3 linked regions of the Cricetulus griseus genome follow. The protein of the gene in region 1 purifies or fractionates together with the protein of each later gene. This does not show direct contact. Links are inferred from orthologs where the notes say so. Each region holds a gene or a part of one and is shown on either strand. Other genes may lie near its edges.

Region 1 (3,948 bases):
AGACCCTATATCAAGAGAATAAGGCAGAGAGTGGCAGAGCAGGACATCTAACATTCTCCTCTGGCCTCTGTATGACAGTGTTAAAGCACTGTCAGTGTCTGTAATAGGATTTTATGGTAAGAATCCCCTTGAAAAGTCGGGCGTTGGTGGTGCACGCCTTTAATCCCAGCACTCAGGAGGCAGAGGCAGGCAGATCTCTGGGAGTTCGAGGCCAGCCTGGTCTCCGGAGCGAGTGCCAGGACTGGCTCCAAAGCTATATAGAGAAACCCTGTCTCGAAAAACAAAACAAACAACAACAACAAAAAAAAGAGAATTCCCTTTAAGGCTTATTTTGTCTTTAAAAAGGAAAGAGAGTATGTTGGAGGCTAGGGTGACCCTGACAACCATCCATCCAGCCCTTCCCTGGCATTTGGCTGTCATGACTACCATCCAAGCAGCCCCCTCTTGGCATCCACCTGGCCTGTTGTCATAGCAACCTGGAAGCTCCTGGATGCTCCACAGACACCTCCTGGAAGCTACACGTCTACAACCACTTAATTCTGAAAGACAACTCCTGCTGGAGCAGGCACTATTCTAGCCCTGACTGTTGCCTATTTACACGGCTTTTTTTTTGCCATCAGAAGCCTCTGTAAACCTCAGCGGCCATTTCACCCAGGCCCAAGGGTAAACCCTTTGCCTGATAAGGCAACAAAAAGCCTGGTGTTGGTGCAAATGGGGTCTTTTCAGTAGCCCTGATGTGGCTCTTTGGGACTATTTTCCTGGAGACCAGGTGGCTCCCGTGCTGCCCCCTGGTGGTGCAACACTAACCCCGGGCCTTGTGCAAACTCCTTTGCTCCACCGATGGGATCTTTATCATAGAGGGGGCGGGATCCATGGCGCGCAGAGGGACAGACGGCAGAACCACCGGCCAAGCAGCAGTAGCCAGGACGCTGACAGCCGGGCAGTGAATTTAGAGGCAGCTGCAGCGACATTAGGGTGACTGAAGATTTCCAGAAACAGGCCAGGGGTAGGGAGCAGGGGTAGTGAGGAGCAAATGGGGGGGGGGAGAGGGGGTTGGAAACGCATATGCGCAGCCTGGAGACCCAGAGATCTTCAAGTTCCGGGCGGGCCCGGGCCTCGCTGCAAAACGAGCACACGCTGCTCTTGCAGAAGACGCAGGATCGGGTCCCACCCCCGCCTGCAACTGCAGCTCCAGGGGGGATCCGCTGCCCTCCCGCCCTCCCTCTTCTGCACAGCACGCGCGTGGTGCACAGACAACGCGGCGTGCCGCCGGAACGCCTCCGGGGCTAAAGTGTAAAAAAAAAATAATAAGCAAACCTTCGAGAAAAAAAAATAAAATAAACCACGGTTCGAGTATAACCAACCCCTGACTCTTAGAGCGAAAAAGCCGCCGCGGCGGGGCGGGCGAGGGAAGCCCGCAGAGATTGCAGAATTCCCGCCCAAGGCACGGCACTTCCGGGAGAGGGGAGCGGGGGCGGGGCCACGCGCTGCCGTCACGCGCCGCGCGTCGCCCCGCGCATGCGCTCCTCTCCACGTGCGAGCGCCGGAGACGCGTGGAGTCCGGGGACGCTGCTGATTGCGGGAGCCGCGCGGCCGGGAGGGACGCAGCGATGAAGCCAGGTAGCGGCGGCGGCGGCGGCACGGGCTGGAGCGGGGCTCCGGGCACCGCGGCGGGACGGACGGACGGAGGGAGGGAGGGAGGGCGGCCGGGGGCTGCTCGGGAGCCGGGGAGTGTGACCGCACAGACCGGCCTGCAGCCTCGCCGCTGCATCCCGGCCCTCCTGACCCCGGCTCCGGGGCGGGGCGGGGGAGAGAGGGGCACCCGGCTTGGATCGTAGGTGGGACGGCTCCGGATCGCGTGCTTCCCTCTTCCCGCTGTCACCGCTGCCCCAGGGGGGACGAGTGAGGACCTCCGGGGCGGTGCTGCGCGGCGATCGCGTGCGCGGCTCGCCCTCTCTCTCCCTCGCTCGCCCGCTGCGCTTCCGGGAGGGGCGGGGTCCTAGCCCCGGAGGAGCTGACGATCGGGGGGTCGGGAGCCCCTGCTCGGCGCCGCGAGACGCTTTGCAAGCCTGGCCTTAGCCGGCAGGGCGATCAGAAGTGAGAGCGGTTGGTGTTGGTCTGAGTTTTTTGAGACTGCGTCTCGCTAGGAGACGCTGGCTGGCCTTGGAACTCACTCTGGAGACCAGGCTGGCCTCGAACTCAGAGATCCGCCAGTGCCTCTGCCTCCCCCGATTGCTGGGATTTAAGGCGGGCGCCACCGCCGCCCGGCGGGACAAAAATGTTTCCTTTATTTCCCGCCCTTTTTCTGGTGGATGAATCCACCGCACGGTGGACGCTGGTGCGCGTTCTGGTTTTGACAGTAGGAGCGTCTCTTTTCTTTCTCTGATTTTTTTTTATTTGGTTTTTTTCCGAGATTGGGTTTCCCTGTGGCTTTGGAGGCTGTCCTGGAACTAGCTCTTGTAGACCAGGCTGGTCTCGAACGCACAGAGGTCCTCCTGCCTCTGCCTCCCGAGTGCTGAGATTAAAGTTGTGCGCACCACCAACGCCCGGCTTCTTTCTCAGATTCTTAATGCTTAAGTGGCTTTTTGTTTTGTTTTGGTAATGTGTGACTCCGGGCTGTGGCAGCCCATGCTTGTCAGTCCCGGTACTCGGGAAGCTGGGGTAGGTGGGTGAGGAGTTTGACACCAGCGTGTGCTACAGTAATGATAGCATGAGCTTTGCACCGGTGCCCAAGGATCAGTTTTCGCTAATGGCAGGTTTTTGCCTGGCGTGCGCCCACATGTTCCTGTAGACGGATGAGAGCCAGTGCAGGGTATAGTGACCCATCTTCCCCTCCCAAGCATGTTGAATAGAATTTCTGGGATCCCCCCCCCACCCCCCCCCGTTGGGGAAGTCTGGCGAAGCGAAGGAGGGTGGAGGGATTGCTGTGTGTTCTACGGCTATCCTGTGCTCTGTGATTCCCCCCACCCCGCCCCAGGAGGACTTTTCCCTCCAACCTTTCTCTACCAAATGATGGAAGAAGTTGTGTGGTGACAGTTTGTCTTGGATGACAGAACCAGCTTTGGAGGAATCCTTTTGTTGTTTTTGTTTGTTTTTTGCTTTTTTTTGTTGTTGTTTTTTGGTTCTTTGAGTTAGATGGGGTTTCTCTGTGTAACCACCCTCGATGTCCTGGAATTTGCTTTGTAGACCAGGCTGGCCTCCAACTCTCAGAGATCCTCTTGCTTCTTCTCCCCCCAGTGCTGGGATTAAAGACCTGTGCCACCATTACCAGCTGGGGGAGATTTTTTTTTCAGTTTTTTTTAATTTGAATTAGAAACAAGATTGTTTTATATGACAATCCCAGTTTCCCTTCTCCCTCCCTCCTCCCCTGCCACCCCCCCCCCACTAAAACCCTATCTATTACATATCCTTTCTGCTCCCCCTGGATGGTGAGGCCTTCCTTAGGGTGTCATCAGAGTCTATCATATCCTTTGGGATAGGGCCTAGGCCCACCCCAGTGTGTCTTGGCTCAGGGAGTGTCCCTCTATGTGGAATGGGCTCCCAAAGTCCACACGTATGCTAGGGATAAGTACTGAACTACCACAGGAGGTCCTGTAGATTTCTGAGGTCTCCCACTGAAACCCATGTTCCTGGGGTCTGGATCAGTCCCATGCTGGTTTCCCAGCTGTCAGTCTGGGGAGCAAGAGTTCGCTGGGGGAGACTTTTAAGCAGACGTGTGCTGTAGAATCTGGTGGGCATTTTTAAACAAGGCCATTTGTTGTTTTTATGTTTGTGTTTTGAACTGGGATCTTGTTGTATAGCCTAGGCTGACCTCAAACTCACCCTCCCCAAGCGGTGGGATTGCGGGCAGGTGATACCTCGCTCTGCTGGAAAGCTACTAGAGGGAAGATTGTGGGCATGCCATCTCTTTGAGTAATGGAGTCTTTTTTGTTCATTTTCCTAAAAACT
Region 2 (3,500 bases), on another chromosome or scaffold:
ACACACACGGTAGAAGTAGAGAACAGATTTCTACAAGTTGTCCTCTAACTTCTATGCACACACATGAAATAAAAATGTAATAAAAAAGTAAAATACACTGCTAACTGTGATTATCTTTAGACAGCTGAATAAAAAATAGGTAAGATAATGGGAGAGTTTTACTTTTTTTGTTATATCATTAAATTGGTAACATTATTTCACTAGGGGTTAAATGTGTAGGCAGAATTTTTTTCTTTTTCTTTGCATTTTTAAAAAAAAACGCAATAATTATTTTACATACATACACACAAAGAGGTTAAACCAAAATACAGTTACAGTATAGAAAGAAATACACACATATATACAGACATACTTAATTTAAGTACAGTGTCATGCCTAGACTATTTCTTTGAGGCAAGGTCTCATGTAACTCAGGCTGGCCTTGAATTTATGCAGCACAGGATGACCTTGAACCTCTGAAGTACTAGGATTATAACAGGCACCTGCCACCTCCTGGCCGGATGCTTATTGTTTTAAAGTACAGAACACAAGCTCAGTTAACATTACCTAAAGATCCAAACCACTTCATTAGTATTCATTAAAACTCACAAAGGTTCCCATATCACATTGCATACAGTATCAAAGATTGTAGAAGACCTTTCTAAGCGTCTCTCATTCAAATGTCTCTAACTCCACATGATCTTGCTGTCCTCACACTTCAGCTTCAGAGGCTGGTCTTCTGATCAGGTCACCAAAATATGCTGTGATTGTCTTTAATTTGTTATTAAGAAAGTTCTGTTCTATTTCCACTTGCCCTCCAGGACCAGCCAAGGATGCCACCTGTCAGGAAGAACACAGAAGTCATACATACTTGCAGGATCTTTTTTCTTCTTTTTCTTCATTGTATCATTAAGTAGCTCTGGCTAGTCTACTTTGTTGACCAGGCTGTCATCAAACTCAGATATTCTGCCTCTGCCTCCTGAGATTAAAGGTGTTCATTGCCATGCTCAGCACAAACATGATTTTCAAAAGTTTTTATTCCCCTAACATAAACTATCTGTAAGAGAAAGACTGTCTTTTTTATGAAAGTACTTTAAATAAAGGAGCACCTCATTCACCACTGCCTGCCAGGTATGCATTAATATAGTACTCATTGTAGAAACACTTGCTTCAGACTGTCTCGATGTGAGTCAGATCACTATGCTATGCTGTTCTACAGATGCCATCTCACCAGTGCCATAATCTAAGGATTCAGAGGAAAAGAAAATGGATAAAGCCTGCACGTCATGTCAGTTTTAGCACAGACATCTAAGAACCCACTTTCCTAAGAAACTCAGCTTTAATTTTTTTCTTTGTAGGTGGAGGCCAGAGGCCAACTTGTATGGGTCACCATGTGGGTTCCAGGGATTAAACTTAGGCCATCAGGCTTGGTGGTAGGCCCTTTACATACGAGCATCATCACCTACCTACTCCTAAGATACCCAACTCCCTTTGCTCACGCTACTCTCTCCATTGCACAACAATGTTTACTGTTTTTTGAGTAGAGCCTGTACTTTTCAAATTAGCTCTTTCCTGGATCTCTATCTCTGTTCACTTCCTCTACCTGATGTTCTTTTGTGTTACTTTACATATCTCTGTGTATCTGTATAACTGATTTTTGGGGTCTACTAGAACATAGCTACTGACTCGAGGAGATAAAAGCAACCCCCTTTTCCATTAATATTAAGTTAATATTAAGGATGCTAATCAAACAATTGGGCAATAAGAATAATTACCTGCCAAGGAGCTCTTTGCTCTGCAACACTTGCACTGGTCTTTGTAACATTTCAAACCAGCAAATTAAGAACTCTAAGTTCTTTTCTTTGTTTCTTTAAACCCTGGCTGTCCTGAAAGTTACTCTGAAGACCAGGCTGGCCTCAAACTCACAAAGATCTACCTGCTTCAACCTCCTGAGTGCTGGGATTAACCCTCTTATACAGAAAAGATTTCCATCTTGCACTCCCCCTCCTACCCCTTTAAGAGATTTATTAACCGAGAAATTTCTACCTTCTAACATATAATCTTAATCATTAATCAGATTATCAGATTGGTAAAAATCAAGGAAATAGTGAATGCAGTGGAAAGGCCCAGCCAGTCAGAACAGGAGGTATGTGGTAGACAAAGGGAAGCCCCAAGTTCTGGGGGCAGGCAAACTATGCTCAGAGGTTAAGAACACTTGTTGATCTTGAGTTTGGTTCCCAGAACCCATGCTGGGGGTAGATCACAACATCTGTAACCCCAGTTCTAAGGGATCTGATGGCATCTTCTGGCCTGTGTGCCAATTGCATACACATGGCATACATTCAGACACATTAAAAACAAAACAAAAACGTCAAAAATATCCTTATTCTTCTCTACCTATCTACCCTCCTACATATAAACCAATGAAAATAAGCTACAGTGAGTCAGCACCCACCTATCCCCTGCACTACATATGGAATACAGTTTATTTTTGATGCTGAGGATTGAACCCGGGGCTTTGGATATGCTAATATCATTTACCACTTAGCTAGACTTTCAGCCTCCTATGGAATGAATTATAAAAGCTAATGGGAATCTAGATAATAAAAATAAAACAGATGCTAACAGACTATTCATCTAAAAAAGCCAAGGAGGGTGGAGTAATAGCAGAGAAGGGCCAGGAATTGCCTGATGGAAGGCTATGGGTTTATCCTATTTTTATGTATATGGGTATTTTGCTTGGATATATGTACCACATATGGACAGTGACTGTAGAGGCCAGAAGAGGGTGTCAGATCCGCAGGGACTGGAGTTACAGCTAGTTGTGAGCATGAGGGTGCTGGGAATCAAACCCTGGTCCCCTAAAAGAGCAGTCAGTGCTCTTAGTAGATGAGTGTGTCTTCAGCCTCCAGGTTTACTTTAATACAAATCCAGGGATGCTGCCCAGGGTCACCTTGTTATAAGACCAGCATAAAATTGATCCAAGTGCTTGAGTTGAACTGAAAAGTGTAACTGCTCTTATGGATTCTTGGTTACATGTTTTGTGTAGTTTTGAAAACTAAAGAACAAGGAGCTACTATGCCATGCTGACTAGGAGGCCTGCTCTCATTCTCATGCCTGGAACGTAACTAGACTCTTCATGTTAAGAGTCCATGTACAAGGATTTCACATCAAAGTGGTACCTGAAACTGCTGTATGCAGCTACCATTAGATGACTAAGATGTTCAGAGGCTTCCATCTCTACTATATAGGCTTACTTTTTAAAAGAAATTTCCAAAGCATGCTTTGTTTGCAAAGCATGGTGAATCCAAAGCTAGTGCTGCCTGGAATTCTAGACTGTCAAGGGAAAGAAGTGAAGGAAAACAGTAAGGACTAGGAACCAAACAAGATTTCAAACTGTGGTCTCTCTGAACCAAACCCATGCCTCTGGGTTTCAGAAGCAATTTCAGAGAGGCATCGATTTCCAAAGAGCCTTTCACAAAAAGATGTTTTTAATGAATCAGTTCTGGTTTTACAATGAG
Region 3 (3,500 bases), on another chromosome or scaffold:
GCTGGATTGAAAGAGTATTTGGGAAATGTGGCAACGTGGTTTATATAAGTATTCCACATTACAAGTCTACTGGGGATCCTAAGGGATTTGCCTTTGTGGAGTTTGAAACAAAAGAACAAGCAGCAAAAGCCATTGAGGTACGTCTGTAGAACCCTGAAAATTAAAAAGAAAAAGATTAGTATGAATAAGTTTGCCATGATTTTTCCAATTTTCATTTCAGTTTCTTAACAACCCACCAGAAGAGGCACCAAGAAAACCTGGCATATTTCCTAAGACAGTGAAAAACAAACCCATCCCTTCCTTAAGAGTAGCTGGTGAGTACCCACCTAATTCTTAGGAGGTAAATATTGAATTGGTAGAATATAAAATTATTTGAACATTGCTGTTACAGAAGAGAAAAAGAAGAAGAAAAAGAAAAAAGGGAGAATAAAGAAGGAAGACAGTATGCAGGCCAAAGAGTTAAATATGGAGGACACAAGCGGCATGGGTGTGTGTAAAGGCAAGAGACCAAGGACTGCCTCTGAGGGCTCTGAAGCAGAAACTCCTGAAGCTCCAAAGCAACCTGCAAAGAAGAAGAAAAAACGGGAGAAGACTGAGCCGTCTGTCTTACCTGAAGTTAGAGCAGGGAAAAGGGAAAGAAGCAGTGCTGAGGATGAAGACTGCCAGACCCCCAGGCCAAAAGCCAAGAAGAGGGCGCAGAAAGATGGCATTAGCCAAGCCGCTTCTGAAATCTCCAAGGAAAGCAGAGGTACCATGTTGAAAACAGTGCAAACATTTTAGGTACTTCGCAAAGCACACAACTTGTCTTATGGCAAATCTTTTTTCTAGACTTAGAATTCTGCTCTACAGAGGAGGAGAAGGAGACAGGAGATAGAAAAGGTGACTCACTCCTAAAAGTAAAAAGAAAGCATAAGAAAAAACACAAGGAGAGACATAAAATGGGAGAAGAGGTTATACCGTTGAGAGTGCTGTCCAAGTAAGTACCAATTTTCAGTAGCAGTTGACAGAACTCCATCACCATTGCTAAAGTGCAATTCCAATTTCTATTTAACAGAGTTGCATATTAGCAACAGTGACGGCCTACGGTCCTTTGGCAATATAAAGATGATAAGTAGGAGCCACCACACTCAAACATGAAAGCACTTATTTTTATAAGGTCACAGCAAGTGCCTCCATGTTAAAGTAAAGGAGGCTCCTTAAGCAGCAATCAGTTAAGTCCTCTTAAAGGCTTGAGAATGGAAAAGGAAAGCTTACCATCACCAAAACATGGGAGCACTTACTTTCTTAATCCCAAAGCAAGTACATCCACGTTTAAGTAATGGGGAGCCCAGTCTTTACATTTACTAAGTTCTAGTCCTTAAAATGTAACATTTTTAAATTAAGGAAATGCTGAATGGGTTGAGACACCTCCACTGAAACATGGAAGCACTTACTTTAATTTAACACAGCAGGTATCCCCATGTTAAAGCAGAAGGGACTCCCAACGGGTTAGCTTATCAATGCTAAAGGTGTACATTGAATTCACTTCTACTAAAACTTGGAAGCACTTACTCTTTTTACAGTGAGACAGAAAGCACTCCCATGTTAAAGTTGAAGGGAACCCACCCACAAGGCAACTTCTTTGTAAAGCTAGGGTAACCTAGGAGGAAATTAAATGACAAATTACCTTTGTGAACTGGATCCCAAAGAATCTCCTTCTCTGCTTGGAGGGTAAAACACAGTGACTTTAGACCACTTGTATTTATACTACTCCTAACTCCTGAATTCCTTTTGGCGTCTTTATCTCAGAGAATCATTACAAGAGCCTTTGTTATTTTAATGTATCAGCATCAGCTCTCAGGGAAAGTAGATCCTGGGGATCCTGGGTAGGTCTGGATTTTTTTTTTTTTTTTTTTTTGAAGTAAACAGATGTCAATGTTAACTGCTAAAACCATTACCACAAGATACCCTTCTCTTTAAAAAAAAAAAAAAAAAAAAAAAACTCCTATCTGCTTGTTTGATGGCACAGATTAGGGTAACAATGAGCACTCCCACTGAGCCAGGAGATGCATTGTGCTTCTCTCTGGAGGAGCCCTGGCTGTTTGAAGAGACATCTACATGGTAAATGTATGTAAATAAATAAATTGCTACCATGGGGTGTTTTTTTCTTCTTAGAAATTCTTTTGATTCAAGTAAATCCTAAGGAATGTTATCTCTCAAATTGGAAGCAATTTAACAAATCTTTGAATTTTAGTTTCTCACTTTACCCCAAAGTTGCCTTATTTTGCTTTTACAATTAAAAATTTTAGAAACATATCAGGAACTTAACTGGGAAATTAAAGCATTTTACCTGAATATTTATGAAAAGGAACTTCATTTGTTTGTTTGCTAGATAGATTTACAGCCTAAAAACTAATTGAGTGCACCTTTTTAAAAGAAATGGGAATTTTTATGAACGTCTATTTCATTCACCTTCAGATTTCTCAATGAGTCATCTGGTCACTATTTCAGTAGTTCAATTTTTTGTTTTACAGGACTGAATGGATGGATTTGAAAAAAGAGTATTTGGCACTACAAAAAGCCAGTATGGCTTCTCTAAAAAAAACAATATCTCAAATAAAATTGGAGTCAGAAATGGAAACCGACTGTACAGTGCCCAACAAGTCTGGAGTGAAGAATGGAAAAGGTGAAGCTCACTTTCATAGCATTTAGTGTTATACTACACTGTGGACCCTGGGTGTAGGAGTGATAGACTGGATTCCCCAGTTTTGAACTGAACCATTACCAGAAAAAAAAAAATTTAAAGAAAGAAAAAAATTGAAGTGTTCATATTAAACAGTAGGCTTTTTAAGAGCCTGCTTACTCTCCATTACCAGCAAGTTACTCATGAGTGACTGGGCATAGTAATAAAGACTGCAGTTTTAGTAGAAGATGAACCCAGAACAGGGACATATTAGAGAATTATTATTGATTGTAACATTAGTAAAGGCTTTTTAGTTATAAATATTTTTATTTATTGTAGTTCATTTATTTATTTTACATCCCAGCCATAGCCTCCCCTCCATTCTCCTTTCCCAGTCCCTCCTCCCTATTCCCCAAATTATTACATTTGAATAGTATATTTTGAATATCCTTATATTTCTATTGACATCTATCTTTATTTGAATTTTATTCTTTGGTTCAGGGCAATAATGCATTTTATTTCCTATTAATTTCCAAATGAGCAGTTTGATGCATTAATATTAACATTACACAAGTTCTTTAAAGTCTGAGAAATCACTCCTGCTGTTGTAGAGTAGCTAGTGCTGCTCTGTTAAAGGTCAGGAGTGAGAAAATTTTTATCTGTAGCCTTTTCCTTTTCACAGTCAGCCATCCAGAATGCTGCACCCAGGAGAAGGTTAACAACCAAGGCCCACAATTCGTGAATGGAGTTATTGTGAAGATCATGAGCACAGAGCCTCTACCTGGCAGGAAACAAGTCAGGGTAATGTTTATGATGCCTGTGTAAAAACAAAACAAGA

Evidence for each region.
Region 2: the proteins of Fbl (region 1) and Tgs1 purify together in Homo sapiens (affinity purification with mass spectrometry; 3 studies listed by BioGRID and IntAct, counting the BioPlex papers as one, with this or other methods). This does not show direct contact. The link is inferred for Cricetulus griseus from reciprocal best matches to the Homo sapiens genes FBL and TGS1.
Region 3: the proteins of Fbl (region 1) and Larp7 purify together in Homo sapiens (affinity purification with mass spectrometry; 3 studies listed by BioGRID and IntAct, counting the BioPlex papers as one, with this or other methods). This does not show direct contact. The link is inferred for Cricetulus griseus from reciprocal best matches to the Homo sapiens genes FBL and LARP7.

Annotation. Positions count from the first base shown.
Region 1 is NC_048602.1:7,928,638-7,932,585, reverse strand, and holds the start of Fbl (rRNA 2'-O-methyltransferase fibrillarin), read left to right. Parts: upstream 1-1,473; 5' UTR 1,474-1,610; coding exon 1,611-1,620; intron 1,621-3,948.
Region 2 is NC_048595.1:156,506,870-156,510,369, forward strand, and holds part of Tgs1 (trimethylguanosine synthase), read right to left. Parts: intron 820-3,500; coding exon 691-819; 3' UTR 1-690. UniProt on the Homo sapiens protein: Catalyzes the 2 serial methylation steps for the conversion of the 7-monomethylguanosine (m(7)G) caps of snRNAs and snoRNAs to a 2,2,7-trimethylguanosine (m(2,2,7)G) cap structure.
Region 3 is NW_023276806.1:31,277,390-31,280,889, forward strand, and holds part of Larp7 (la-related protein 7), read left to right. Parts: coding exon 1-137; intron 138-220; coding exon 221-314; intron 315-391; coding exon 392-748; intron 749-828; coding exon 829-976; intron 977-2,513; coding exon 2,514-2,665; intron 2,666-3,344; coding exon 3,345-3,463; intron 3,464-3,500. UniProt on the Homo sapiens protein: RNA-binding protein that specifically binds distinct small nuclear RNA (snRNAs) and regulates their processing and function.